Linked DNA regions of Anolis sagrei. Each later gene encodes a partner of the first gene's protein in a complex. Links are inferred from orthologs where the notes say so. Each region holds a gene or a part of one and is shown in the gene's direction. Other genes may lie near its edges.

The links.
Region 2: BICD2 (region 1) and BICDL1 share a complex: the UniProt entries of both Homo sapiens proteins name them as parts of the tripartite complex. The link is inferred for Anolis sagrei from reciprocal best matches to the Homo sapiens genes BICD2 and BICDL1.

What each region holds. Positions count from the first base shown.
Region 1 is NC_090022.1:61,125,915-61,142,010, forward strand, and holds the start of BICD2 (protein bicaudal D homolog 2), read left to right. Parts: upstream 1-7,720; 5' UTR 7,721-8,201; coding exon 8,202-8,441; intron 8,442-16,096. UniProt on the Homo sapiens protein: Acts as an adapter protein linking the dynein motor complex to various cargos and converts dynein from a non-processive to a highly processive motor in the presence of dynactin.
Region 2 is NC_090034.1:46,093,395-46,109,020, reverse strand, and holds the start of BICDL1 (BICD family-like cargo adapter 1), read left to right. Parts: upstream 1-7,581; 5' UTR 7,582-7,854; coding exon 7,855-8,241; intron 8,242-15,626. UniProt on the Homo sapiens protein: Acts as an adapter protein linking the dynein motor complex to various cargos and converts dynein from a non-processive to a highly processive motor in the presence of dynactin.

The sequences.
Region 1 (16,096 bases):
ATCTTGGGAGGCACACATCTTTTCAGCTTATATACCAAGGCAGGCTTTGCTTTTATCTTAACTCATCTCAGGAGAGTCGTTAGACCAAGAAAGAAGAGTATGTGGTCCTCCAGATGTTACTGGATTGCATTTCTCATGCTCACTCACTAGTACAATATGGAGATGCATTCCAACATCTGGAAGACCACACATTCCCCACCTTCTTTTAGTCATTACCTAGATCTGTTCCCCACTCAACTCATCAGCTAATGAGCATGTTGCAATTTACCCTTTCTGCTAGTTTATTTTTAATTATTAATATTCACCATGATTACGGAGACTGAATTGACAGATCACATTCACTAGAAGGGAGGATACTTCTATGATTTCACCTGTTTTTGTAAGATGTTTGTACAGCTATACTATAATCTATGAAAGAGATATATCCTGAGCCTTTGTTTCTTTAACAGAAAATGTAGTAGCAGAAGCAGAAAAACATGTAAGGAATGGGGATGGGTTCTTACACTACAAAAAGAAAAGCAGTTCAACATATTCAAACAATCGTTTAATTCAAAACTAACTCTACACATGGAAATGAAACTACCAGATTTGGTAAGCCTTGCACATGTAAATACAAACTTTTTCACCTTTCTAAAGACAACCCCAAGTCTTCATCCAAAATACACCATGTAATTTTTTTTTCTTCCACAAGCATTCACTTTTCTTAAGATTTTGATTTTGGTAGTGAAAGTTCTAAATGTATGCTTTAAAAACCTATGTTGAGGGGATGGGGACGGGACCTGGTGAGGCTGCCTTCTCTGTTCTCTTCCTCTCTCTTCCTTTTCATGTTCATACATGCTCAGTAAGGGATTCAAGAGGCAGCTGCTGCTTACTTTGGCCAGGGTCACAAAGCTATATTAGGATTGGCTAGGATAGAATCCCATTCTTTCCCAGCCCAAGATTTTGGGGGATTGTTTATTATAGATATTATGCTGCAGCCAGGCACAAAAGTCTGCATTTCTCCGGCCTTTATTCACCTTCCTCCCAATGCCAATGATCTAAAACTTTTCTAACTAAACAGAGGATGGAGACAAAAACGGAGAGCTCAGCAGGCATAATAATCTTTTTTTAATATGATATTTATTGGAAAGAGCCATTGTTAATTATGTATGTCTGTATTTTAATACATCTTGCTGGAGGTGGGGGGTAATATTACAGCTGTAATCTCTACAGTAGGGTAGGTCACTGATTATCCACAACATCCAAATGTATATGCTCTTGAGAGTTGTAGTCTCTTGATTCATTTTAGCCAGGTACTTTGCTTGGTCTGAGCTTTGAAATGTGCTAACTAAATGGTCCTGTAAGCTTTTTTCAATTTCCAAAATCTGGCTTTGGGCTATTAGAATAAAACTGTAGATTTAGAGACTGCCATTGTTACCTGTTTGTTTGGAAATTGAGGCGAGACTGAAGTCCATTCAGCTTCAGTTTCTCCTGAATTTCTTCCTGGAACAGCGTCACGGGTTCCCTGGGCATAGCATGTTTGTTTCCTGGATTACCAATTTCCTCCTTCTCAAGATATATTGCCAAAGCCAGGTATATGCAATCTTTACACTTCAGCTAGAAGTTAACAGCAGTCTAGGGGCATAAAAAGTTAACTTGCAGCAATAATCTTGTTGGAATATTTTTTCCATTTACTTTGCAGTTTGAGGTTGAAAACAGCAATGAAAGCTGAGAATGAACTGGAGAAATGATTTCCCCCTCTATTGCTGAACCACTTATACAGTTCTCATAGCTATTAGCAGGGAGATGGGTCATGCTTGAGCTCTTCCCTTTTTGTTACTTGCTTCTGCACTATATAACTCCAAAGAGCCCATCTTCAATTAACTTCAGGATAAAGTATTTTCCCCAGACTAGGGGAGTCTGACATACTGTATTCTAAGCAATGGGAAATTTGATTACCAGCCAAGGGATAAGTGGGTAGAATTTGTTTGGGGCCCAGTTCTACCATCAGCTGTGGGAACATGCTGGAGCCCTTCAATGAAATGCCATGAATGTTTCTCTGAAGTGTACCATCTGCTGCATCATTTACCACCAATGTGTAACATGTGTCAGTCTCCAGCACAAAAAGAACCCTTGGAGAGGCCTGGAATTGCATACAGTACAGGAACCTAGAGGAATGTCAATTGTTTATTTGAGGAGCTGTTCAGAGGGGAATGCATTGGCCATTTCCTTATCTGGGTAACAAGAATGTCTAAGCCTGTTTAGTCCCCAGCCTTCCAAAACTGCAGCATTGCACAGTCCCTTTTGATGAAGATTTACATAAAATTTAATGATGCAGCCAGAGCTGCACTTTGGGACCCTGCAATAAATGTCCTCTCTCCATCACAAACTTAGATGGCAGCAGTTGTGGGGAGTAATGAGAAAGAGGCTTGGCATCAGCATCTGCTTGGTCCAGACAGGACTGATGCCGAAGTATCCTTCCTTGCTCATTTATAAAACATTTTAAAACCATGGAGTGAGAAGCCAAAAATATACATGGTTAGATTTTACATGAAATATATATTACAATACTTCTTTCTACAAGGAACAGGAGTGAGAGAATTGCATGGGGGCACCTTCCTCTAGGAGACTGTGCCTCAGGGAGATAATCCAATTAATAATTCTCTACTGTGTCCATCTTGGAGAAATGATAGGATTGCCATTTTTAAATATCTGAAGGAGATCATATAGAAGGTGAGAACTTGTTTCGGTTGTTCCAGGAACTAGAATATGAAGCAATAGATTTCAATAAGAAGAAAAAGAGATTCCATCTAAACATTAGGAAGGACATTTTTTACTGTGAGAGCTGTTCAACGATGGAACAGACTGCCTTGGAAGATGGTGGACTCTCCGTTTTTGGAGGTCCTTAAACATCTTGGAAGGGCATCTTTTAGGAGTGCTTGAGCTATGTCTTCCCATATGCCAAGGGTTTAGACTATATGACTCTTGTGGTCTATCCCAGCTCAAAGATTCTGTGAATCTAACAAAATAGTGTTTGTCAATACATTTAGTATCAGGGTCATCTGAAATAAATTGAACTCCATTTTATTACTATTATGATAGAAGTGAGCTTAACATTTAACAGTAATAATAACTTTATTTTTGTACCCTGCCTCCATTTCCCCAAAGGGACTCAATTTCCCCAAAGGGGTGGCTTACATGGGGATGAGCTCAATCAACATAGTTAAAATATAAAAACAAAATAAAAATAACATCATTACCAAATATCAAAGCAAACATCAACCAACAACATATGAATCTTCAATAATGATCAGTTTCTGCACATGCTCATGTTCTAAAACTTTTGTACTGTGCTTTTTAAACTTGACTAGCTGTGGGATTGTTAGCTACCTTGAGCCCCCACTGGGCAAAAGGTGGGTATAAATAAAGTTAATAATAATAATAATAATAATAATAATAATGCTCAGACTGCTTTTTAGAAACAGGGAGTGCCAAACTGTCATTTTTGTTTTGCTCTAAAAATATGAAGAATGCACCATTTGTAAAGCATGAAGTGGCAGAAAGAGGTGCAAAAGACAAATGTTTGGGTTTTTTTCTGAAATGTTAAACATGGACATTGAAAGCTCCTCCTCTTTCATTTACTTAGACCACTCAATTCAAGGTCTAAAATCACTTAACTATGTTACCAGTAAACCACATGAGCTAATAGACCAAACGCCACTAGGAGTTCAATTAAATTCAAGCCACGTGGCCTAACATGAATTGAAGGAAAAACTGAATACATGCTGGGTGTTCAAGAACATGTGAATATTTTCATGCTTGATGCAATTAAATTTAATTTCAGAATGAGGGAAGAAAAATAGCTGATTACATCAAACTTTTATATTTTTGTTTCCGGAAAGTTTTATAACAGTGAAGAATTTAGTGTGTCATTGCAGTTTTTTTTTTCACGTGGTAAATCCAGCCTCACCGTGCACACAACATGAAATGCTCAGATTGCAGATACAGTGCATGATTCTACAGGTGAACTTAAATGTCCTCTTAATAAATGCTGATGCTTTAAGCATGCCAGGTTGGATCAACATGACTGAAAGGTAGAAGATGAAAGTGTTTTATAAAGCCCTTTGGCAGTAGGCAGGGCAAGTACTGCGTGGTTTAATCCCCAGGTGTGTGCAGGACGGGTAATTGTTTTTGGTTTGCCTTCTGAATTTGCTACCATTTATTTATGATGAAAAGTAACATGGTGAATTACATTAGCTTCTGAAAAATGGGTGATTCCAGGAGGAAATTTGAAGTACTCCTTAAAAAAATAATCCTGAATTTTAGGGCTATTATATAATGCCACTGTGAGAGCTCTCAAATGTTTTCCAGTTCTATAGCCACTTTATGGATTCAGAAGATCTCTTTCTCTTTTTCCATGATTAAATTTACTCAGGAAGCTTTTGGCCACAGACTTTGTAATAAGCTTTTTGAAAGGCCAAGCACAGAGATGGCACTTTGAATGGAATCTAGGACAAGTTTGGAGCATTAAAGTAGGGTTTCCATGACGTGGGAAACCCAGCTCCAAATCCTTTTTCAGCTCCACGACCTGCTGGGTTTCCTTCTCTTATATTGGTACCCTGCTGGGGAATCTCTGAGACAAAGCTGCTTATTCCCACTGGGCAAACCCAGAAGTGATTGGGGAAAAGATGGAAGGTGAGTCATCATTGCCCAGTCCTTAGCATCACCTTAGTGGCTCTCCACCTTAGCAACAACGTCTTCCTTAAAATAATAAAACTGTAATAATGCATTTCCATGCTGTTTTGTTAGATTAACAGAGAGACTGTTGCAATTCCTTGGGGTGAGGAAGGAGCGGTACTGTTCTTTTCATTTAACACAGTGAGATGTCTGTCTCAAGACAACAGATCTGGGGTATCATAAAAGTGCATTGATCATCGAGGGTCCTATCACACTACACTGTTATAGCACTATCTTTCCACTGTAACTGTCATTTCAACATCTTATGGAATCCTAGTATTTACAATTTGGGTATTCAGCAAGCTTTTGGGCCTCACTAATAATAGTTTCTTATCGTGTCAGGAGCAAATTGAGAAACTGTTGCTTCCAGTGTGAGAGAATTGGCTGTCTGTGCGGGCGTTGCCCAGAGGATGCCCAGATGTTTGGATGTTTTACCATCCTGTTGGGGGGCTTCTCTCATGTTTCCGCATGGGGAGCTGGAGCTGACAGAGGGAGCTCATCTGTGCTCTTCCTGGATTCAAATCTCTGACCTGTCGGTCTTCAGGGGGCTCCAATACTGCTACTACTATTACTACTACTACTAATATGAATAATATGCTTTATTTATTTTCTGCCCTATCTCCCCAAGGGGACTCAGGAAGGATTACAGAATGCATATACAGCAAGCATTCAACGCTATCATACAATTGACAAGGACAGACAATACATAAACAGAGGTAAAACTAAGAATTCTACAGGATGTTCCCATGGTAGTTAAAGTGGGATAATAGCACTATAACAGTGTGGTATGACAAGGTATTTATTTGTTATAATTTTTCATTTTACTTCAAGATGTAGGAGATGTAGGCAAAGGAGGAATTTATTGCCTCATGTACTGTCTTGATTGATTTAGTATATTGATATAGATGAAAGGGGAAACATGTCCTAAGGCCTGCTCACACTGCACGGTAATAGCACAATTATGCTTAAACTGCCATGACAGCATCCCATGGAATCCTATAATTTGCTTTTTAGTGAGTGGTATTCAGAATGCTCTATAGAATCATAGAATCATAGAATCAGAGTTGGAAGAGACCTCATGGGCCATCCGGTCCAACCCCCTGCCAAGAAGCAGGAATATTGCATTCAAATCACCCCTGACAGATGGCCATCCAGCCTCTGTTTAAAAGCTTCCAAAGAAGGAGCCTCCACCACACTCCGGGGCAGAGAGTTCCACTGCTGAACGGCTCTCACAGTCAGGAAGTTCTTCCTCATGTTCAGATGGAATCTCCTCTCTTGTAGTTTGAAGCCATTGTTCCGCGTCCTAGTCTCCAGGGAAGCAGAAAACAAGCTTGCTCCCTCCTCCCTGTGGCTTCCTCTCACATATTATACATGGCTATCATATCCCCTCTCAGCCTTCTCTTCTTCAGGCTAAACATGCCCAGCTCCTTAAGCCGCTCCTCATAGGGCTTGTTCTCCAGACCCTTGATCATTTTAGTTGCCCTCCTCTGGACACATTCCAGCTTGTCAATATCTCTCTTGAATTGTGGTGCCCAGAATTGGACACAATATTCCAGATGTGGTCTAACCAAAGCAGAATAGAGGGGTAGCCTTGAGTCACCTTGACTTCCATCAAGTCAACCCCAGGCCCGTAGCCAGGATTTCGTTTCGGGGGGGGCTGAATTTTTTTTCAGGGGGGGTTTCGGGGGGGGGCTGAGTTTTGGGGGGGGGGGCTGAGTCTGAGTGAAAGAGGGTCTAGCCTAGCAAACCTTTTGTATCATTACCCCAATACCCCCATGCATATGGGATATATTGAGTATGGTGATCAGATCATGATAGGAATAAACATAACAGTTTAAATAATGCACCAATAAGGCCTTTTCGCGAACCACCATGAAAATTTCGGGGGGGGGGCTGAAGCCCCCCAAGCCCCCCCCCCTGGCTACATGCCTGGTCAACCCTATTTCTTTTCATCAAGTCAACCCTATAAATGAGAGACCCCTAAGCCACCCAATGTTCATTTAGCCCTGCTCAGGTCTTCAAGACTCAGGGTCATGGCTTTCTTGATTGAATCACACCACTTGGAATGTGGTCTTCTTCTTTCCCCATTGCTTTCTACCTCACCAAGCATTGGTTTGCTGGCTGATATCTGAATAGAGAATGGGCCAGAGATGTCAATGCCTTCACCCTTTCACTACAGTAGAGTCTCGCTTATCCAATCTTTGTTCAGCCAGTGTTCTGTATTATCCAACACAATCTGCCTCCCGCTCAGATCCACGGAGAAAGAAAGAACCCTTGTCTATTTTGGTGCTGAATTCATATAGTAATTACTACATAATGTTACTGTGTATTGAACTGCTTTTTCTGTCAATTTGTTATAAAACATGATGTTCTAGGGCTTAATTTGTAAAATCATAATGCAATATAATCATATTTTATTTATTTACAGTATTTATATACTGCTTTTCTCATCCTGAGGGGGACTCAACGTTTTTTTGTATAGTTCTAATATTTGCATTTTGTAAGATTTGTAAATTGTATAGCTATTCAGATGGTGAGCCACTCTGGCTCCCTGTTTTGGGAGAAAAGCAGAATACAAATACATAAGATTATTTATTTATTTATCATGTCAGAAGAGAATTGAGAATATAGTTATAAAAAACCCCACAAAGTTGAAAACTTGGGATTTTGCTAAATTTCCTTTGGCCAGACGCTGGCCACTTGGGAGTGCCTCTGGTGTCTCTAGGATAATGATGGTGATGGCGATTATGATGAAAATGGTGATTTTGACGATGGTGACAATAATGAAGGGAAAGCCCCAATCAGCTGCGAGGCGGACCCTCGTTCAGGCTGAGAGCCAAGTGTGGCCGCACTTCCCGCGCGCGGCCTGCAGGGGTCGCTGTTCGGAGCCTCATCCGGCGACGCCGCTCTCGCCCCCGCAGCGCTGCGCCGCCAGCTCCTTCCTCTCCTCCCAAGAATTCCTTCAAGAGGGCAGGGCCGGCTCCCATCGGCTGCGGCTGGCCTCCCTCGCTGTGCATTGTGGGAAGGGTAGTTCCGAGGCCTCGGGATAAGCTCGCCCGCTAAGGAGCGGCGGACTACAACTCCTACAATGCCGCGGGGCCAGCGCCTGGCCGTTCCTTTTGAATGATTTCACTGCGGTTTCCATTCCCAGCGAGAAGCGCCGCAGCAAGGGAAGGAAGCGGGCAGGCAGGCAGGCGCCGCAATCATGCTCTGAGGATCCCGCGGGCCAGCCAGGAAATCCACTCGATCCCTTGAATGGCAGCCTGGGCGAGGAGGGCTAGAGGAAAAGGAGCCATGGCCGCACGAAGACTGGCGCGGCTTTGAAGCCTGCAGAAAATCACACACACACGCACACGCATCCCTATTTTGGTCTATGTGGCCAGCGCGGGCTCCGTCTCGCTCTGCCTGCGCCGCATTCCCTCCCCCGCTGGTGGAGAGCGCCGCCGCCGCTGCTTGCCGCTGAGGGCAGCTCTGCTTGGGCGAAGATGTCGGCGTTGCCGGACGAGGAGGAGTACGCGAGGCTGGTGCGGGAGTCGGGCCCGGAGTGGCTCCGCGCGGAGGTCAAGCGCCTCTTCCAGGAGCTGGGCGAGACCACCCGCGAGAAGATCCAGGCGGCCGAGTACGGGCTGGCCGTGCTGGAGGAGAAGCAGCAGCTCAAGCAGCAGTACGAGGAGCTTGAGCTCGAGTACGAGACCGCCCGCGGGGAGATGGAGCAGCTCAAGGAGGTGAGGGAAGGGAAGGGAAGGGAGGGAAGGGAAGGGAAGGGAGGGAGGAAGAAAGGAGGAAGAAGAAAGGGAAGGGAGGAAGAAGAAAGGGGGGGGGGAGATGGGGGGAGAAAGAGGAAGGGAGGAAGAAGCAGGAGGAAGAAGAAGGGGGAGAGGAGCAAGGGGAGGAGGAAGAGGAGGAGAAGGACAAGAAGAGCGGGGAGGAAGAACAGGAGAAAGGGAGGAAGAAAAGATAGGGGAGGAGGAAGAGGAAGGGAGGAAGAATAGAGGAGGATGAAGAGGTGGGGGAGAAGAGGAGGAAGGAGGGAGAGGAAAAAGAGGAAGAAGAAGGCTCAGGAGCAAGGGGAGGGGGATAAACAGGAGCGAAGAGGAAGCGAATGAGGAGAAGGAAGAAGAAGAAATGGAAGGACAAGAGGAGGAGGAGGAAGAAGAGAAGAAAGGGGGAGGAGGAACATGGGACAGGAGCAAGGCGAAGGGGTGGAAGATAAGGAGGATGAAGTGGTGAATGAGGAAGAGGAGAAAGGAGGGAGGAAGAAGAGAAGAAAAGGGGAGGAAGAAGAAGGGGCAGGAGCAAGGAGAGGGAGAGGAAGAAGAGGGGAGGAGGAGAGGGAAGAAGAAGAAAGGGAAGGCCAAGGAGGAGGAGGAGACAGGGTGAGGCAGAAGAGTCAGGAGCAAGGCGAGGGGAAAGAGAAAGAGATTGAGGAGAAGGAAGAAGAAGAAAGGGAACCATAAGAAGAGGAGGAGGAAGAAGAAAGAGAAGGGCAAGAAGAGGGGGAGGAAGAAAAGAAAGGGGGAGGGAGAAGAAGGGTCAGGAGGAAGCCAAGGAGGAGGAAGAAGAGGAAGAGAATGAGGAGGAGAAGGAAAAAGAAGAAAGGACAAGAAGAAGAGGAGAAAGGGGAGGAAGAAGGGGCAGGAGCAAGAGAAGGAGGAGGGGGAGGAAGAAAAAGTGCTGGGGGAAAGAGGAGAAATAGGAAGAAAAGAGAGGAGGACGGAGGGAAAGACAAGGAAGAAAGGGAGGGGCAGGAAGAAGGGGGTGAGGAAGAGGAAGGGAGGAGGAAGTAGAGGAAGAGAATGAGGTGAAAAGGAAGAGGAAGAAGTATTGGGTGAGAGAGAGGAAGAAGAGGGGGAGGAGTAGAAAGTTGAGAGGAAGGAAAAGGCAGAGTAGAGGAAGAGGTGAAGGAAGAATAGGAGCAGGGGGAGAGAAAGAGAGTGAAGAAGAGGGGAGGAAAGCCTACTTGTCCTCTGGGCCCTGGAAGTGGAATGATGAGTGGGTTGCAAGGCAGGAAATATGTATGCATGCTGGAGAGATACAGATTGCAGGGGGGAACATGGGCTAATGCTTACAGCTCTGCCAGCCTGGAAGAGTCCTGCCAGCCAGGAATTGAGTGAACACTCACACACAGACACACATGTTTCTAAGTAGCAGCTGGTGTGGAGGAAGGCCAGGCCTTCTTGTTTTCCTTTATTCTGGGCCCTTGGGGTGGGCTGGTTGGAATGTAATGTTGTTGGGTTTGTTTTTTTTGCAAGACAGGGCATTCCTGCAGGAGATCTATAGCATGAGCCAGTGTGGATCAGGTCAGGCTGGAATTGAATATGCTGGAGATGTATAGCATGCCAGGGGGTGGGTGGGAAGCACTAGCCACAGTGGTTAGAGCAGCCTGGAATTTAGAGTGTGTATGGCAGGGTTGTTTTGTAGGAAAGACATAGGGACCCCCTTGCACATGCCAGAGACATACAGTGTGTGTGTGGGGAGTATAGGCCAGTGGTTGGAAATCCCCTGGGGATTCTGGCCAGGCAGTCGGACTGTGCACTTGGCTGGTGATGATGGCGAATAATAATAATTAATTTGTTACCGACCTCTCCATAGATAAAAACAAGGCTATTAAAACACATATATTCAAAGACATAGACCTGAGATTAAAACACACTGAAATCACAATTCCTACTAATAAAACGTCAGTTCAAATTCACAAAAATATTAGGCCATTGAAACACACACACACACACACATATATTCAAAGACATAGGTCTAAGATGAAAACCCATTAATATTGGTGTGAATGTGTGTGATGTGGAAAGGAAGCGACTCCTTGCCCACCTTCCCTAGGTTTGCACATTGGCAATAAAGTCACAGGAGAAAGGCGCCTTGGCCTTCCTTGTTTCTGCTGGCGCAGTGCCTTGCCATTCCCTTAAAGGGGCAGCTCAGTGTATTCCCTTAATGCACCGTGCCGGTCCCATGACATCTGCAGCTTTCCTCCACACTGCAGGGAAATGGCCAGGACAGTAGATAGGGTGCATCTATACTGTAGAATGAATGCAATCAGACACCACTTTAATTTCCATGGCTCAATGCTATGAGATCATTGGAGCTGTAGTTTTACAGGTCTTGAGCCTTCTCTGCCTAAGAGTGCTGGTCTCTCACCAAGCTACAGCTTCCAGGATTCATTAGCATTGAGTCATGGAAATTAAAGTGGAGTCAAACTTCATCCACTCAGTTGATGCATTGCCACTAAAGATGCCTCTACACTATAGAATGAATGTAGTTTAACACCACTTTAATGGCCATGGCTCATTACTATGGGATCTTGGGATTGGTAGTTTGGCGAGAGGCAGCTAAAATACCTTGTAAAACTACAGCTTCCGGGATTCCATCGCATTGAGCCATGCATTTAAAATGGCGTAAAACAGCATTATTCCTACACTGTTTATTCAACCAAAGTACTGAGGTTAATAATCAAGTTATTGATTGAAATCTGGTACAGGCATCTACAAGAACTGTCCCCTTCCTGGCCTATTTCAGGTTGGCTCGATGGAATTAGCTACTTAGGTCTAAATTACATTATTTAATTGCCTGCTGCATTGTGTCTTCAGATGCACAATTACTGATATTTGGAGAGTGTGGGAGGCATATTTGCTTAACCAGAGAAATGAGTATGCATTTTCAAACAGCTAATAATTAAGGGTTCCTCGGGGCAGTTTTGTCTGCTGGGAGGTTGCAGTGTTAATGCAAATAGATGAACAGTTTATTGAAAGCAACAGAACAAACTCATGGAAGTTCATGGAAGCTCGGAAGGCAATAACTTTAACTTCTCCCAGTGGTGTAAAAACCATTTCAATTGTTACTCTGGATTCTGGAAAGTGTACACCTGCCTAAGAGTTTGAGATATTATTTCAACTATGTTCAGGACTTTTCTTTTGAAGAAAGAGTCCAAAACAGCCATTGTGTGCTCGTGACTATGAAGTATTTGGTTTTCGTTGAATAGGTCTTATGACCACAGTTTTGCACAGGTAAATTAATTTATTATGAATATTTCCCTTACCAACATAATCATCCATTTTTCCCTGTCCCACAATGTGTGCTATAATAGAAGAATGAGTAGCTATGGTCTCTCTTTATTTGGGTAGGTTTGATCAGGTGACTTACTTAGAGCACATCACCTGATTTTTGCTTTTCTAGGTTTTTAACCTCTCATTTTTGTTTTGTTTTTATCACTCATATACCTGCAGCTGAATTTCTGAATTTTACTGATTTTATCCAATGGGTTTTGTGTAGTGAGATATTCACGTTGGTTGTTATTGTTTGATGTTATTGTTTCTGCAATTTTTGTACTTTATGTGTTTGCACCTCTGGGAGATGGTGGCAGGGTATAAATAAAGTTTATTTTATTATATTAAATTAAATAAAAGGATAAACTAAAACATGGAAGCCCTCTCTTTGGTTTTGATTTGAAGCTGTTTAATTGCAAACAGCAGAACTGTCGCTTGGCAGCTGTGACAGTCTGGATGAGGGCAAACAAATTGAAATTGAATTCAGACAAGACAGAGGAACTCCTGGTCAGTCGTAAGGCCGAAGAGGGTGTAGAGTTACAGCTTGTGCTGGATGGGGTTACACTCCCCCCACAGTTTCGCAGTTTGGGAGTGATCCTGGACTCATTGCTGAGCCTAGAACCCCAGGATTAAGCAATGGCCAGGGGAGCTTTTGCACAATTAAAACTTGTGTGCCAGTTGCGCCCGTATCTTGGGAAGTCAGACTTGGCCACAGTGCTCCACACTCTGGTTACATCGGGAATAGACTACTGAAACATGCTGTACTTGGGGTTGCTCTTGAAGCTTCAAGTAGTCCAACAGGCAGCAAGCAGATTTCTCACCGGAGTGGGGTATGGAGAGCATACAACTTCTTTGTTATGTCAGCTCCAGTGGCTGCCAGTCTGCTATCAAGCACAATTCAAATTTCTGGCTTTAGACTATAAAACCCTAAACGTTCCAGCCCGATTTACCTGTGGGATCCTGCCTGAATGTATCTCCCTCTATGAGCCAGCTAGAAGGTTAAGATCATCTGGGGAGACCCTGCTCTCGGTCCCACCTCCTTTGCAGGCGCGACTGGTAGGGATGACAGGCAGGGGCTTCGCAGTGGTGGCCCTCCCAAATGAAATCAGATCAGCTCCCTCCCTCCTCACCTTCAGGAAAAAGCTAAAAATGTGGATGTGGGATCAAGCATTTGGTTAGTAACCCATTAGAGAATACGGAATAGTGCAATGACAATCTGGAATGGCCATGGATTATGATTTTGGATATTGTGATTTTTAATAAGTGTTTTAAGGTTTGATATGTTTTTAATGACTATTTTAATGTATATGTTTATTTTATTATATATGTATGTTTACATGGCATTGAATTGTTGTCTATATATGTAAGGCGCATTGAGTCCCCTACGGGGTTGAGAAAGGCCGGCTATAAATATGGTACATAAATAAATAAATACATTTAATGGACACAAGAGAAGCTGGTTTTTTAAGGTGGCATAAAACATTACAAATTTGCTAGCCATTGGAACAATAATGCAGGCCCAACTTCAGTATTTACTTAACAGAGGAAAAATGTTTAATTAAATAGTGCAAGTCTTTATGATGGCACGGTTTGTTAATGAAGCCTGTTCTCAACCAAGGTGCTTAATATTATCCTCACCGTTTAATCAAAAGAGTTTTAGGAGGTCACTATTAATTATTTTTCAAGGTCTTCTTTAAATCCAAATCTATCTTAGTTTCTGGGAAGACGTATCTATGGAGTGATGTCCATCGCCTGGAGCAGGCCTTACAAATGGTGTGTTTGAACAGCAGTGTGATGCCTTTGTGCTCACTGTTCTGTGTCCCTCCTCTTCTGTGCCATGTGCAAATGTGACAACTGCAACAATCAGCAACATAAGCACAGATGAAAGGCATTTCTGTGGCTTAACTGGGAAGGAGGTGGGATTTCCAATGATCAGATAAGATGAGAATTCAATACCTTTGGATCTTGTTACCCCTTCCTTTGATTGCAAATGCTAAAATGTTATGCTAAAAATTAAGCAGATGTTCTCTACTTATAATTGGGAATCTATACAAGGAGCAGAATCTATTCCATTTTTCTTTGTGTGGAATGTTTTGAGCTGAAACTACACATCATTGGTAGAGAGCCTGATTACATATGGACTGGATTTGGGAAAATTATAATTCTTTACAACTTTGTTGCTATGGGGAAGTCTGGGTCTCATTAGGGACTTCCTAAATTTTTTGCAGATGTGCAGTGAGCTGCCTGAAAAAAACAACTCTTAAATTGCTGCTTATACACAGAATCACAATGGTTAAGCTTGTTCAGAAGAGTTCTAGTCTTTTCCTATGTTTGGTTTAGTCAGAAATAAGTTCACTGGATCTTGATGGGATTTACAATATAAGCTGTTGGAGCTAGGCTTAAGAAATAGCATATTTTTGTATGCCATCTTTCTCCTGATCAGGGATTTAGGGTGGCTAAATGTATAACCATAGCTTCAGAGCTAGCACATAGTCTTTCTCAAATACAATTCTGCATTGGCTTTTTTTATCAGTATCTAAACAGGTTGTATGTATTAGAATATTTTTCACTCTTATTCTTAGTTACACACACTGATTTGTATCCAGATGAGCCATAAAACAAAAGTCTATGCAAATGTACAGTACTTATAACAGCAGGAACACAGTGATTGCATGTTGCTAATTATTAGCATTTCTGTTTAGGCAAAGGCTGAAAAGGCTGCTTAATATGGGAACATGCTCTTTTTCTTTCCTGTTTCTCTATTCTAAATAGCCAGCTTATTTGAAAGAAAAAATATTGTTATGTGTGAGTCTGTAATGTCATCTCTCCATTTTTGTGCCCACCCTGTTCTGGGATCTAGCATTTTTGGTAAAATATTGAGCTGTCAGAAGAGGTAGAACAATCCTGTGAAACAGATTGCATCTTGATTGTTTGTCAGATAGTGATGAAAAATTGTGTAATGAAGAGGAAATAAACATTGCTCGGAGATGCACAGTTATTGTAATTTTTGCTTCCTGCCATTTTTCTTAGACTAAGTAGAGGGATACAGACAATACCTATTGTCTCCTCCACCTGAATTTATATGGTCAGGTGTGCATCTTAGTTAAGCAATGGGCACAATGCCACATTTATTTATTTATTTATTTATTTATTTCATATACTTCTACCCCGCCCTTCTCAACCCCCGAGGGGGGACTCAGGGCGGCTTACAAAAAGGCACATCTTGGTGCCTGCACAATACAATAACATATAAAACCAGCAATTAAATGGTCAACAATTAAAACAATTAAAACAACAATATATCACACAATCAATAGCCAATCTCAGACACAACGTTCACCAACTCAGAGTTCATATTTCGTTCCACCTCGTCCAATTCCTATCCATCGTCACAGCCTTTATTCATCTGCCAGATTGCCCAAACGCCTGGTCCCACATCCATGTTTTTAATTTCTTTCTGAAGGAAAGGAGGGATGTTGCTGATCTAATCTCCCCGGGGAGTGAATTCCATAGGTGAGGGGGCACCACTGAGAAGGCCCTGCTCCTCGTCCCCGCCAATCTCACTTGTGACAGAGGCGGGGCCGAGAGCAGGGCCTCCCCAGAGGATCTTAGACTCCGAGATGGGACGTAAAGGGAGATGCGTTTGGACAGATACGCTGGGCCGGAACCGTATAGGGTTTTGTAGGTCATGAAAAAGCTTCCATCTCACTGCTTCCAATGTGACTCTTGGAGGAAACGGTTGTTGTGTATTGCTCACCTTGGTGGATGTTTTACACAAAAGAGGTACTGTTTGGTGGATCATAGTGTGTGTGTGTGTGTGTGTGTGTGTGTGTGTGTGTGTGTGTGTGGAGCTGGTGCTCAACCCCTAAGTCAATGGTTCTCAACCTGTGGGTCCCCAGATGTTTTGGCCTTCAACTTCCAGAAATCCTAACAGCGGGTAAACTGGTTGGGATTTCTGGGAGTTGTAGGCCAAAACACTTAGGGACCTACAGGTTGAGAATGACTGCCCTAAGGGGTGTTCCTAGGCATGATACTTATACAATATGATCTCTTTATCTATAGAGTCCATATTCACTGTTTCACTTACCCACACCTCCAAAAACATTCCCTTCCAGAAGTGTTTGTGGATTTTTTAGGTCTTCCACTGTGATGCTATGTTATGCCTCTAGCGCAGGTGTAATCAAGATATAGTGTTTGCAATTGTTGACAATATGTGTGTCTTGGAATTTACTGTGACACTCTTATTTCAGGCATGGGCAAACTTTCTAACTTGGGGCTGCATTGCAGGCTGGAGTCGGGTGGGCGAACTGGAAGGGAGGGGGTTCTCC
Region 2 (15,626 bases), on another chromosome or scaffold:
AGGCAGATGGTATTTGTAGCACAAGTTCCAATGGATCATCTGAGCAATGGTGTTATGCCTCTGCTTGTAGTCTGTCTGCGCAATCTTCTTGCAGCAGCTGAGGATGTAATCTATCATTTCATCTGCTTCCTTGCAGAGTCTGCACTTGGGATCTGTCGTTGGCTTTCCAATTCTGGCTTTGATGGCATTTGTTCTAATTTCTTGTTTTTGGGCTTCCAGGATCAGGTCTTCAGTCTCCTTTTTCAAAGTTCCATTTGTGAGCCACATTCATGTTTTTAATTTGTCAATTTTGCTCTAAATTTTTTCCAGGAACTGTCCATGGAGAGCCTTCCTTTGCTAGTTTTCTCTTTGCTCTGGATTGTATTTTTACGATATTCACTCTTTGTCTTTTGCACTTTAAGCAGTTTACTTCTTCTTCTTATTATTATTATTATTTGAAAAACACCAAGTTTAGTACACAGCAAACACAATCACTATGCTGGCTGCTGTATTATATCAAACACTGGACACTTCCCAAGTGTCTAGGACTGAATTATCTGTGTAACAGTATTATTATTATTATTATTATTATTATTATTATTATTATTATTAGCTTGGATACCTGGCAATGCCTGGGTTATTTGAAAATGGGAGGGCCAGTCCTGGCCAGATGTCAAGGCATCGCACTGGTTATGTTTGTTCCCAATTCAAAGCCGCTTTGGGTCTGGATCCAAAGAAAAAATCAGAGTCATAACAGACTCAACTCCTAAATTTTATAGATATATTTTAACTATGTTGTGCACCGCCTCGAGCCATAAGGAGAGGAGAAATAATAATAATAATAATAATAATAATAATAATAATAATAGTGATCGGCACACAGGGTGCAGTGTCTAAAGACCTTGGCCTGCACTTAAATATAATCGGCGCTGACAAAATTACCATCTGCCAGATGCAAAAGGCCACCTTACTGGGATCTGTACGCATTATTCGCCATTACATCACACAGTCCTAGACACTTGGAAAGTGTCCGACGTGTGATCCAACACAACAGCCAGCAGAATGATCTTGTTTGCTGTGGACTCATCTTGTTGTGTTTCAAATTATTATTATTATTATTATTATTATTATTATTATTATTATTATTATTACCAGGATTGTGGCACAGCTGGCTGAGTGTCAGCTGCATTAAAATCACTCTGACCAAAAGGTCATGAGTTCGAAGCCAGCCTGGGTTGGAGTGAGCGTCCGACCAATTGTGTAGCTTGTTGTTGACCTTTGCAACCCGAAAGACAGTTGCATCTGTCAAGTAGGAAAATTAGGTACCATCTATGTGTGGAGAGGCTAATTTAACTAATTTATGAGGCCACAAAAAAGACTCCAGCAAAGCATGCGGGGAATGCGGAAGTACTTCATCAGTGTCGCAGATGGACGATGAAAGCGAAAGCTCCCCTGGTGGCCAGAAAAGTTAAATAGCCTCTGTGTATGTCTATATACGTTGTATGTCTAATTGGCATTGAATGTTTGCCATATATGTGTACATTGTAATCCGCCCTGAATCCCCTGCAGGGTGAGAAGGGCGGAATATAAATGCTGTAAATAAATAAATAAATAAATAAATAATAATAATAATTATTATTATTATTTGGAAGAGACCACAAGGGCCATCCAGTCCAACCTCCTGCCATGCAGGAACACAAAATCAAATTGTTGTTGTTGTTGTTGTTGTTGGTCTGAAAGGTATTTCCATGCTGGCCCATGACCTGCGGAACTCTCTGCCAAAAGAAACTTTCCTGGCCTCACAACTTCTAGCTTTTAGAGCAGTGGATCCCCAGATGTTTTGGCCTTCAACTCCCAGAAATCCTAACAGTAGGTAAACTGGCTGGGATTTCTGGGAGTTGTAGGCCAAAACACCTAGGTTGATGTTTATTTTGGTGTTTATTTATACCCCGCTTTTTCTCTCTGTGAAGGGGACTCAAAATCATCCTACAATAAAAGCATTTCCATACACTTTGAAATCCAACAATATGCAAACATTAAAATAGAACAAAACATCAGGGTATGAATTTCAAATGACCAGTCCAAATCTTTAAAATGGATTCAAAGCTAAAACCACGGATTTCACCCTCCATTTGATAGGTGTGCTCTTGTGTCTATGTTGTTATATGTATTTCAGTACTGTTCTGTTTCATTTCCCTGTTTCGACCTGTTGCACCCTGCTGCACGACAGCCTCAATAAGTAAGTGCAATTAAGTGCAAAGATGCATTGCTGAGCCCCTGTGCAGAGGGCTAACTGGGAATCCTATGCACACTTTCTGGAGAGTAGACTGCTTTGAGCCTCCTTTGTGGAGGGAAAAAGGTGGGGTATTAATAATCTATCTATCTATACACATAATAAAAGTGAAAAAGTGTATGTGTGTATTTGGCAGAGGTGCCCACTTACACAGACAGACTCCCACCTCCAAACAGCTTTAACCCGCAGTGCTGAAGAGCCACCAAAAGCCCTCCCTCCAAGGACATTACAGGTTACGGCGGGCGCCATGACCATGTAGCCCAAACCTTGCCAATGTCCTCCACAAAGACCATACTGCCCGCCCTCAAGTGAAGGCTTTCATTCAGGGACAATTTCATCCTAGATGTTCTGTTTTTCCTCCAGAATGGACATCCCAGGGTTCCTTACTCTTTCTATTGCTGTGGAATTTGCATGACCCCGCCCAATGCCTCTCCCCTTACCCTTTCCTATTATTATTTTATTTTATTATTTGCTTTATTTGTATACCGCATTTTTCAGCCTATACAGGCGACTCAATGCGGTTTACATGGTACAGGTTATCACAACAATGTCAGTGCAATTAAAACACAACAAATATAACAACAAAATCAATAGCATCAATCAACAACAATTAACAAATCAAACATCGCCTCCGTGAAATCAGATCCGTTCTTGTAATCCTTGTGCCATTCCTATGTTCCATTTACCGTCTTCCTATGTTCGGTTGCACTGTTTAACCAAACGCTTGTTCATAAAGCCAAGTCTTGACCTTTCTCCGAAACGCCAGCAACGAAGGTGCCTGTCTGATGTCTGCTGGTAAGGCATTCCATAGCCGAGGGGCCACCACTGAGAAGGCCTTGTCTCTCGTCCCCGCCAAACGCGCCTGCGATGCAGGCGGGACCGAGAGCAGGGCCTCCCCAGACGATCTTAATGTTCTAGTCGGTTCATAGGTGGAGATGCATTCGGAGAGGTAAGTGGGGCCAGAACCACTTTCCTATGGCACACAGCAAACAGGAATTGATCAGCAACTGAACAAGAGGTTTGGGAAGAGTTCACCATGATTTATAGGAGTTGTAGCTCATCTACATCCAGACAGCACTGTGAACTCAGCCAATGATGGATCTGGACCACACTTGCTACGGATGATGGTATTTGCAATACTTTCACACACTTCCCGAGACCACTGCGACTCCCACAAATGGCGGATCTGGACCACACCTGCCACACAGGCCTCCCATGGTCTACTTTACATCTTTGTGAGGTTTGGGGAAGGATGCACTATGGGAATTGCAGTATCATCACTCACTATCAGAAACCACTGCAACCTGAACGAATAATGCACCTGGACCCAATTTAACACACAGACTCCCTATGATGCACTTTCTGTCCTGCTGATGGTTGGGGGAGGATGGACCACAGACAATGGGATTTGCAGTACCTTCACCCACTTCCACAGACCACTACGACCCCCCTTACTTTACTTAGGCAATCCCTCGCTTTCCGAGGATGATTGTCTTCCAGTGTTCTTGTGGGTCTGTATGTGGCTGTGGAGCCCTATTCTTGCTCTGCATCTTCTTCCGCAGTGAGGGCATTGGTTTCCAGGTGGAAGGCGGTCTCGGTCGGGGTTGGCTTGACGCGCCCTCCTCTTGGCACGCTTCTCCCTTTCACCCTCCATTCATGCCTCCTCAAATTCTGCAGCACTGCTGGTCACAGCTGACCTCCAGCTGGAGTGGTCAAGGGCCAGGGCTCCCCAGTTCTCAGTGTCTATGCCAGAGTTGTTAAGGTTGGCTTTGAGCCCATCTTTAAATCTCTTTTCCTGCCCACCAACATTCCGTTTTCCGTTCTTGAGTTCAGAGTAGAGCAACTGCTTTGGGAGACGGTGGTCGGGCATCCAGACAACGTGGCCGGTCCAGTGGAGTTGATGGTGGAGGACCATCGCTTCAGTGCTGGTGGTCTTTGCTTCTTCCAGCACGCTGACGTTTGTCCGCCTGTCTTCCCAAGAGATTTGCAGGATTTTCTGGAGGCAGCGCTGATGGAATCGTTCCAGGAGTTGCATGTGACGTCTGTAGACAGTTCACGTCTCACAGGCACGATTAACAAACCTGGGACAAATTTGGGACATAAAACCCAAACCCAGTTTGGGGAACTGACACACTTGCGTAGGAGTTATAGTTCTTCCTGCATCAGGACCACTCTGAACCCCATCAATGAAGGATCCGACCACACTTCGAACACAGAACCCTGGTGACCATTAGAATATACTGGCAGTGTTTGTGGGGGATCGACCTACCCATGTGGAAGTTATAGTTCACTCTGTACCCAGAGCACTCTGAATCCCACCAATGATGGATCTGTGCCAATCATGGCATACAGAACCCTGGGGACCAATACATCATACTGGAGATGTTTGTGGGGGGACCGACCCACCCACATGGAAGTTGTAGTTCACCCTGCACCCAGAGAGCATTCCGAAGACCCCAATGGCGGATCTGGAACATACGTGGCAAACAGAACCCCAATGGCCAACAGAACATATTGGAGGGGTTGCGGAGGGGATGACCCACCCATGTGGGAGTTGTCATTCACCCTGCATCCAGAGCACTCTGAACCCCCTCAAAAATGGATCTGGACCAAACTTGGGACACAGACCCAACATGTCAAACTGTGAATATAAGCTGAGTTTGGGGGTAATTGCCCTAAGAATCTGGGAGTTGTAGTTCACCTGCGTCCAGAGAAACTGTGACACCCCCCCCCCCCCGCCATCAACATTGGACTGGGTCCAAACTTGTCACAGAGAAGCTCCATGACCAACTGAACATACTGCAGGGGTTTGTGGGAATTGACCTTGATTTTGGGAGTTGTAGTTCACCCGCATCCAGAGAGCACTGAACTCAGCCAACGTCGGGTCAAATTTGGCACACAGATGCAACCTGACCAACTGTTCGTACAGGCCTGGTTTGGGGAGGGTTGACCCACGTTTTTGGGAACTGTAGTTCACCCACATCCTTATACATTTTCTAATGGGAGCATTCATAAAATGCTAATAATAATAATAAGGCCCAGCGAGCACATTGGGATGACCTTCTGAGTCAACCTGCTTCAAAGCAAGCTGTAGCAGGGCTCAGGAATGCTGTTTGGATTGCAACTCCCATCATTCTCCAGTTAAAATTAGGATTTATTAAATGGGCACCCCCAAAGGACAAGACTGGCTTAAATGGGCCACAGATCGACTCAAGATGAGACAGCTTCCAATAGCCTGTATCTGACTTAGCCCATTCTTCATTAATACATTCTCTAGGTTTTTCCCTCATGTTCTGACTCCTAGGATTGTATCATTCTAGGACAGTGTGGATGGACCACTGTTGGGAGGACTTGAATGGTGTCTCCCTGGATAGTGGAAGGGGGCTGGACTGGATGGCCCTTGGGGTCTCTCCCAACTCTATGATGGATGGCCATCTGCTTGTGTCTTCCAGCATAGTGGGAGATGGTTGGACTGGATAGCCCTTGGGGTCCCTTCCAACTCTAGGATGGTATTATTCTAGGATAGTGTGGATGGCCCTCTGTTTGGAGAGCTTAGATGGTGTCTTTCCCGGCAGAAGAGGGTTGGACTGGAAGGCCGTGGGGGTCTAGGATGGTATCGGTATAATAAAAACCATCATCACCAACTTCTTTCTCTAGAGGTGTTTAAGCAGAGACAGAATGGCCCTCTGTTTGTGTGGGCTTCTATGGTGTCTCCCTGCATAGTGGGAGGGAGCTGGACTGGACGGCCCTGGGGGTCCCTTCCAACTCTGCAATGGTATAATAATAATACTCCCTTATAATGGAGTCTTCTCAGGAGGTGTTTAAGCAGAGACGGAATGGCCCTCTGTTGGGAGGGCTTGGGTGGTGTCTCCCTGTATAGTGGAAGGTGGCTGGACTGGATGGCCCTTGGGGTCCCTTCCAACTCTGGGATGATATAATAATAATACTAATAATGGAGTCTTCTCTGGAAGTGTTTAAGCAGTGACGGAATGGCCCTCTGTTGGGAGGGCTTGGGTGGTGTCACCCTGTATAGTGGAAGGAGGCTGGACTGGATGGCCCTGGGGCTCCCTTCCAACTTTAGGATGCTATCATTCTAGGACAGTGTGGATGGCCCTCTGTTGTCTGGGTTTGGGTGGTGCCTCCCTGCATAGTGGGAGGGGGTTGGACTGGATGGCCCTTGAGATCCCTTCGAACTCTGGGATGGTAAAATAATAATAGTAATAATGAAGTCTTCTCTGGAGATACGGAATGGCCCTCTGTTGGGAGGGCATAGTGGATGGGGGTTGGACTGGATGGCACTGGGGATCCCTTCCAAATCTGGGATGGTAAAATAATAAGGCTAGTAATGGAGTCTTCTCCTCTGGAGGTGTTTAAGCAGAGGCTGAATGGCCCTCTGTTGGCAGGGCTCGCTGCATAGTGGAAGGGGGCTGGACGAGAGGGCCTGGGGGTCCCTTCCAACCTTAGGATGCTGTCATTCTAACACAGTGTGGATGGCCCTCTGTTGTGTGGGTTTGGGTGGTGCCTCCCTGCATAGTGGGAGGGGGCTGGACTGGATGGCCCTGGGGGTCCCTTCCAACTCTGGGATGGTAAAATAATAATAGTAATAATGATGTCTTCTCTGGAGATAGGGAATGGCCCTCTGTTGGGAGGGCTCTGGTGGTGTCTCCTTGCATAGCGGATGGGGGCTGGACTGGATGGCCCTGGGGGTCCCTTCCAACTCTGGGATGGTAAAATAATAATAGTAATAATGAAGTCTTCTCTGGAGATAGGGAATGGCCCTCTGTTGGGAGGGCTCTGGTGGTGTCTCCTTGCATAGCGGATGGGGGCTGGACTGGATGGCCCTGGGGGTCCCTTCCAACTCTGGGATGGTAAAATGAGAAGGCTAGTAATGGAGTCTTCTGCTCGGGAGGTGTTGAAGCTGAGGCTGACTGGCCCTCTGTTGGCAGGGCTCGGGCGGTGCCTCGCTGCCTGGTGGAAGGGGGCTGGACGGGAGCCCCCCCCCCCCCGGGGGTCTGTGGCGCCCTGTGGGAGGGCTCCGGCCTGGCTGTGTCTGGCGCGGTGTTCCATCTGGAGAGGCGGGGCTGCGCGCCTTGCCAACAGGAGCAGGAATGTTCTGGTGCCCGCCCGGGCAGGCAGGGGTGAAGCCGGGGGGCGGGGCTTGCGGGGGTGGGCGGGGCCGAGGCGGGCACCTGTGGGCGGGGCGTCGTGGTCATCGGCGCGCGGGCCAATGGGAGCGGGCGTGGGAACAGGTGCTGTTCGGCGTCAGGGGCGCGCGGGGCGGGGCCTGCGGGGCCAGGGCTGCGCGGGGCTGGCGGCTGGCATCCGGCGTCGGCAGCGGGTCCCGCGCGATGTCCTGCCGGCGCCGCCCGGGCGGAGATGGGGCGGGAGGGGCGCCGCGGAGCCGGCCCGACCGCCCGAGCCGCGCGGGGTGGCCGTGACTGCGGGCCGCGGCGGCGGCGTCGGAAGCGGCGGCGGAAGGACGCCGGAGGAGAAGCCTGAGGAGGAGAAGCGGAGCGCGGTCCCTTCCTCCCTCCCTCCCTGCCCCTGCCCCTCTCTCCCCCCCTCCCTCCCTCCCCCGGGCCATGGCCGCCTCCTGCCTCCGCCTTTCAGCACCCGCGGATCTGGACAGCGCCGGGCGCCGCATGGAGCTGCCCGAAGGCCGCGACGCCGCGCCCGCCACGCCGGACCCGGCCTTGTCTTCCTCTTCCTCCGCCGCCGCGGACCTGGAGCTGGTGCTGGAGGAGGAGCTCGCCCTGCTAGCCGCCGCCGGCTGTGAGGAGAGCCGCCCCGCCGCCGCCGCCGCCGCCCAGGAGAGCGAGGCCGCCGAGCCGGAGCTGCGCTCCCTCATGAGGCAAAAGGAGAAGGACTTGCTCCTCGCCGCCCGGCTCGGCAAGGCGCTGCTCGAGCGCAACCAGGACCTCAGCGGGCAGTACGAGCGCATGCACAAGGAGCTCAGCGAGAAGCTGGAGGTGAGGCGCCTGCCCCGGAAGCCCGGCCGCGGGGGGCATCCTGGGAGATGTAGTGTCCCCACCGCACCGGAAGGAGGGGCCTCTGCTGCAAGCAGCCGGGCCCTGGCCTCCACCCGGCGGGGGCCACACTTCAGGCCTGCCAAACGCAGCCCCGGCCCAAGCCAGGCTCAAACGCCAGGCACGCCCCATAGCCCACCATCCCCTCCCAGGTCTTCTGCTTTGAACTACATTCTAGGAGTCCACACTGACACATAATTATCGGGGACACACAGAAAAGCCACCTTCAAGGGTAGAAATGCACTCAAGAAATAAAACCTGGCACCAGATCCTAGGATATAGGGTCTGTCTAGAAGAGCCCCCCAGGGTTCCCTTCCAAGTTTTCGGCTTTGAACTAGATTATATGACTCCACACTGCCAGATAATCTGGGATACACAGACAAGTCACTGAGTCCCCTCCAGGGTGATATAGAGAGGGGCAGAAAATCAACCAATAAACAAACTCTGGGATATAGGGCCTGTCTAGAAGGGGCCCCAGGTTTTCTGCTTTGCACTGGATTATATGACTCCACACTGCCAGGTAATCTGGGATACACAGAAAAGCCACTCTGAGTCTCCTCTAGGGTGAGATCGAGCAGGGTAAAAATACCATAAGTAAATATATCCTGGCATCAGATCCTGGGGTATAGGGCCTGTCTAGAAGAGCCCCCCAGGGTCCCATCCCAAGTTTTCAGCTTTGAACTGAATTATATGAGTCCACCCTGTCGGATAATCTGGGATACACAGAAAAGCCTCTCTGAGTCCCCTCTAGGGTGAGATAGAGCAGGGCAGAAATACAATAAATAAATAAATCCTGGGGTATAGGGCCTGTCTAGAAGAGCCCCCAGGGTCCCATCCCAGGTTTTCGGCTTTGAACTGGATTATATGAGTCCACACTTCCAGATAACCTGGGACAATTTTATTTATTTATTTATTTGCTGTATTTTGACCCCACTGTATCTCAGTCCCAAAGGGGACTCGGAGCAGCTTCCAAATTGGCAATAATTAAATGCCACAATAAACACAAACCTCTAAATACAATATACATTATACATGACATAAACAGAAAACCTGAGATCAGATCCTGGGATGTAAGGCTTGTCTGGGAGGGCCTCCAGGATCCGATCCCAGGTTTTCTGCTTTAAACCCAATTATATGAGTCTGCTCTTCCAGATAATCTGGAATAAACAGAAAAACTGCCATCAGATCCTGGGGTATAGGACTATCTGGAAGGGTCCCTAGCTACAGAGGCAAAACTAACTACCCACATTAACTTGAGTCTCATGCGCCATCTAATAATGATAATAACAACAACAACAACAACATATCTCTAATATGTGTTCAAAGGAGGGCGACTAAAATGATCAAGGGTCTGGAGAACAAGCCCTATGAGGAGCGGCTTAAGGAGCTGGGCATGTTTAGAATGAAGAAGAGAAGGCTGAGAGGAGATATGATAGCCATGTATAAATATGTGAGAGGAAGCCACAGGGAGGAGGGAGCAAGCTTGTTTTCTGCTTCCTTGGAGACTAGGACGCAGAACAATGGCTTCAAACTACAAGAGAGGAGATTCCATCTGAACATGAGGATGAGCTTCCTGAATGTGAGAGCCATTCAGCAGTGGAACTCTCTGCCCAGGAGTGTGGTGGAGGCTCCTTCTTTGGATGCTTTTAAACAGAGGCTGGACGGCCATCTGTCAGGGGTGATTTGAATGCAATATTCCTTCTTCTTGGCAGGGGGTTGGACTGGATGGCCCATGAGGTCTCTTCCAACTCTTTGATTCTATGATTCTATCCCAGGCCCTTGGAAAGAGACCAATCCCAGACACTTTGACTTAATGTGCATGTGTGCTGCGTTGTTATATACATGTAATTAACAACAACAAGAATAACAACAAAATAATAGGAGACAAGGACTGAATGGAGCCATGGGTTCCAATGACAGGAAAGGAGCTCCCACTTTAACATTAGGAAAAACTTCCTGACTGTAATAAGAGCTGTTTCAGCAGTGGAACTCTCTGCCTTAGAGTCTGGTGGAAGCTCTTTCCTTGGAAACTTTTAAACAGAGGCAGGATGGCCATCTGGTGAGGATGCTTTGATTGTGCTGAGGAGGAGGTTGGATAGAATGGCCCCTGGAGTCTTCTATAAAATACCATATTGACTCGAGTCTCATGCGCCATGGCATAATAATACTAATAATAAAATTAAAACATAAAATACTGTATTGACTCAAGTCTCATATGCCAAATAATAATAATAATATTAAAACATAAAAAACCATATTGTCTTGAGTCTTGTGCGCCATCAAATAATAACAATTTAAAATACCATATTGACTCGATTCTCATGCACCTTCGAATAATAATAACAATAATAACAATAGTGAAACATAAAATACCTTATTGACTTGAGTCTCATGCACCATCAAAAATAGTAATAATAATAATAATATTGAAACATGAAATACTGTATTGACTCAAGTCTCATTCGCCATCAGATAATAATAATAATAATAATAATAATAATAATAATAAGCATAATAGAAGACTAGGACTCAATGGAGTAATGGGTTCAAATGACAGGAAAGGAGATCCCATTTGAACATTAGGCAGAACTTCCTGACTGTAAGAAGAGCTGGTCAACAGTGGAGCTCTCTGCCTTGGAGTCTGGCGGAAGCTCCTTCCTAAACAGAGGCTGGGTGGCCATCTGTCGGGGATGCTTGGATTATGGTTTTCCTGCATGGCGGAAGGGAAGGGGGTTGGACTAGATGACCCATGGGGTCTCTTCCAACTCTAGTATTCTATAAAATACTGTATTGACTCGACAACATATCTCAAGTAATCTCAACATATCTCGAGTAATATAACAACAATAATTAAAAAAACCATAAAATACTATATTGACTCAAGTCATGCACCATCAAATAGTAATAACATAAAATGCCATATTGACTCGAGTCTTGCGCGCCATCAAATCTAAGGCGCACCTCCGTTTTCAAAACCCCCAAAAGTAGTTGCTGGCAAACATCATGTGCAAAAAGCAGCCCAAAGTGCCCTCTTTGTCATTTGACCATTACCATTGCTGCTTGCTTAGGATTCCTTCTTTAAAAACAAACATGTTAGACTAGCAAAGGTTTCAGCAACGGAAAGGAAAACCTTGAGGCGCATCTATGCTGTAGAATGGATCCACTTTAACTAAGGAGTCATGGGGGACGTAGTTCTACAAGGCCTTGAGCCTTCTCTGGCAAGGAATGCTGATGCCTCACCAAACTACAAATCCCAGGATGGCATAGCATTGAGCCAAGGCAATTAAATTAGAAATAGTGCTCCTCAAATAGGAGCTCCAGGTGTAGCTCCTGAAGCAGCTTCCCCTTTTGCTTTGGGTCAGCACTAAGTGTACCTTATTACACGAATTGAATGCACATCCTAATTTGTGCAAGGGAGTTTAGTCAAAAAAGGTGAGCATTAGATTTGAGAAAATCAAATGTGTATACGTATATACATAGCAGTCAGTGCTCTTTAGTGTTTAGCCGATGTTACTAAAGGACTTCTCTGGTCCTTTTTGATTATCTGTGAGCGATGGGCGCTGCAGCCCAACAGGCCTCACCTGGAATAACTAGAGAGATGATTGGCCAAAACAAGCAAAATGAATTTCAACGGGGAGACTACACTTTGGTACTACACTTGGTACTACACTTTGGCAATAAAAAGGAAATGCGCATATATAGGATGGGGACCCCTGGCTTGGAAACAGTCCGTGGGAAAGGGATCTAGGGGTCTTAAGAGACTACAAGCTTGAACACAAGTCAAGAGTGTGCTGCAGCAGGTAAAAAGCCAAGAATATTCCAAGCTGCATCAATAGCAGCATAAGGGAAGCCATAGTCCCACTTTCATGTGCTTTGGTCCAGTTCCAGGCAAAGCAATTCAAGAAGGAGTTGGACAAGATGGAAGGTGCATAGAGAATGGCCACCAAAAGGATCAGAGATCTGGAATCATAGACTCATGGAATCATAGAGTTGGAAGAGACTTCATGGGCCATCCAGTCCAACCCCCTGCCAAGAAGCAGGAATATTGCATTCAAAGCACCCCTGACAGATGGCCATCCAGCCTCTGTTTAAAAGCCTCCAAAGAAGGAGCCTCCACCACACTCCGGGGCAGAGAGTTCCACTGCTGAACAGCTCTCACAGTCAGGAAGTTCTTCCTCATGTTCAGATGGAATCTCCTTTCTTGTAGTTTGAAGCCATTGTTCCGTGTCCTAGTCTCCAGGGAAGCAGAAAACAAGCTTGCTCCCTCATCCCTGTGACTTCCTCTCACATATTTATACATGGCTATCATGTCTCCTCTCAGCCTTCTCTTCTTCATTCTAAACATGCCCAGCTCTTTAAACCGCTCTTCATAGGGCTTGTTCTCCAGAACCCTGATCATTTTAGTCACCCTCCTCTGGACACATTCCAGTTTGTCAATATCTCTCTTGAATTGTGGTGCCCAAAATTGGACACAATATTCCAGGTGTGGTCTAACCAAAGCAGAATAGAGGGGTAGCATTACTTCCCTAGATCTAGACACTATGCTCCTATTGATGCAGGATAAAACCCCATTGGCTTTTTTTTGCCACCACATGACATTGTTGGCTCATGTTTAACTTGTTGTCCACTAGGACTCCAAGATCTTTTTCACACTTACTGCCATGGATCCCTCTGAATATGGGCTTCGGGAGATGGGTATGTTTAACTTGAAGAGAAGGCCCCATTGAGCAAGGGAGCAACTTGTTCTCTGCTACTCCAGAGCCTAGACACAAAGGAGAAATTGATTGAAACTGCAGGAAAAAAAAAGAGATTCCATCTAAAAATGAGGAAGAAATTCCTGACAGTGGACTCTGCTACCTCTGTGTCTCTTTCTCTGGAAGCTTTTAAGGAGAGGCTGGAAAGCCATCTCCCGGGAGGGCTTGGATTGGCAGGGGGTTGAACTAGATGCCCCTTGGAGTCTCTCCCAACTTTAGAATGCTATGATTCTACCTCTCCTGGGCAGACTTACTTGGGGTAAACAGCACTGACTCTCCTGGAGGGGACTTGGAGGAGACCTCACAGAATCATAGAGTTAGAATAGACCACATGGATCATCTAGTTCTAGTCCAACCCCCTGCCATGCAGGAAAAAGAACAATCAAAGCACCCCCGACAGACAAGCCTCATATTTGATGCCTTCCCGGCTGCAAGAATCTCCGAGGAGGTGAATGGAATGACAGCCTGCCAGTGTTGATATCTCCCTGCGTTCTCAGTCTATATAAATAAAAAAAATGTAATGTTTGTTTGTGGGATTAACACAACTCAAAAAACACTGGGTGAATTGACACCAAATTTGGACACAATACACCTATCAGGCCAACAAGTGACCATAATTGATAAAAACACTGAAAAACACAGCAGAAGAGACTTTAAAAGCCAAAAAAATAAAAAATACATTACAACTCATGTGCAAAACCACATATATACATATATACACAAATATATATACACACATATATACACACAAACACAACACATATACACAGACTCGGCCACAGCAATGCGTGGCAGGGGATGGCTAGTAGTAGTAGTTATTTATTTATCGTGTCAGGAGCAACCAGACATTTGTATTACATTTTTAACAACACAAACAAACAGACAGATAAAACACAACGTTTGCAAGCTTGGTAGTTGATTAAATGTCCTTTGAACAGTATCTGGCCACTTGGAGTGCCTCTGGTGTTGCCGCAAGGAGGTTCTCCATTGTGCATTTAGCAGGGCTCAGGTTGCATTGCAGCAGGTGGTCAGTGGTTTGCTCTTCTCCACACTCACATGTTGTGGACTCCACATTGTAGCCCCATTTCTTAAGATTGGCTCTGCATCTCATGGTGCCAGAGCGCAGTCTGTTCAGCGCCTTCCAAGTTGCCCAGTCTTCTGTGTACCCAGGAGGGAGTCTCTCATTTGGTATCAGACATTGGTTCTGGGTTTGAGCCTGCCACTTTTGGACTCTCGCTTGCTGGGGTGTTCCAGCGAGTGTCTCTGTAGAACTTAGAAAACTATTTCTTGATTTAAGTTGTTGACGTGCTGGCTGATACCCAAACAGGGGATGAGCTGGAGATGTCTCTGCCTTGGTCCTTTCACTATTGGCTGCTACTTCCCGGCGGATGTCAGGTGGTGCAATACCGGCTAGACAGTGTAATTTCTCCAGTGGTGTAGGGCGCAGACACCTCGTGATGATGCGTCATGTCTCATTAAGAGCCACATCCACTGTTTTAACATGGTGAGATGTGTTCCATACTGGGCATCCATACTCAGCAGCAGAGTAGCATAGTGCAAGGGCAGATGTCTTCACTGTGTCTGGTTGTGATCCCCAGGTTGTGCCAGTCAGCTTTCATATGATATTGTTTCTAGCACCCACTTTTTGCTTGATATTCAGGCAGTGCTTCTTGTAGGTAAGAGCACGGTCCAGAGTGACTCCCAGGTATTTGGGTGCGCTGCAGTGCTCCAGTGGGATTCCTTCCCAGGTAATCCTCAGAGCTCGGGATGCTTGTCTGTTCTTAAGGTGAAAAGCACATGTCTGTGTTTTAGATGGATTACGGATCAGCTGGTTTTCCCTGTAATAGGCAGTAAGAGCACCTAGAGCTTTGGATAGCTTCTGTTCTATCATCTCAAAGTTCCCTGCTTGAACAGTAATGGCACGATCATCAGCATAGATGAAACTCTCTGTCCCTTCTGGCAGTGGCTGGTCATTTGTGTAAATGTTGAACATGGATGGAGCAAGCACGCTCCCCTGAGGCAGGCCGTTCTTCTGTTTCCGCCATCTACTTCTCTGGCCCTGGAACTCAACAAAGAAGCTCCTGTTTTGTAGCAGGTTTCCTATGAGGTGGGTGAGATGCTAGTCCTTTGTGATATTATACATTTTTCTCAGGAGGAGGCGGTGGTTCACAGTATCATAAGCCGCTGACAGGTCTATGAAGACAGCTCCTGTGATCTGCTGCCTTTCAAAGCCATCTTCTATGTGCTGAGTCAGGTTCAGCACTTGCGATGTGCAGCTTTTGCCTTTCCTGAAGCTAGCTTGCTGTGGAATCAGACATGGGTCTATTTTTTCCGTAATTTTATGCAAAATAAGTCTCTCCAGAACTTTGTAGAGGTGGCACAACAGGGAGATTCGTCTATAGCTTTTTGGATCATTACGGTCTTTGCTTGGCTTCAAGATGGCAATTACTCTTGCTTTCCTTCAGATTTTGGGGATCTGACAGGATGCAGTGTAGTTGTTCATCAGTTCCAGCAGCCAGCGCCTTGCTTTTGAGCCAAAGTTCTTGATTTGGTCCGAGTATAATGGTCCTCCAA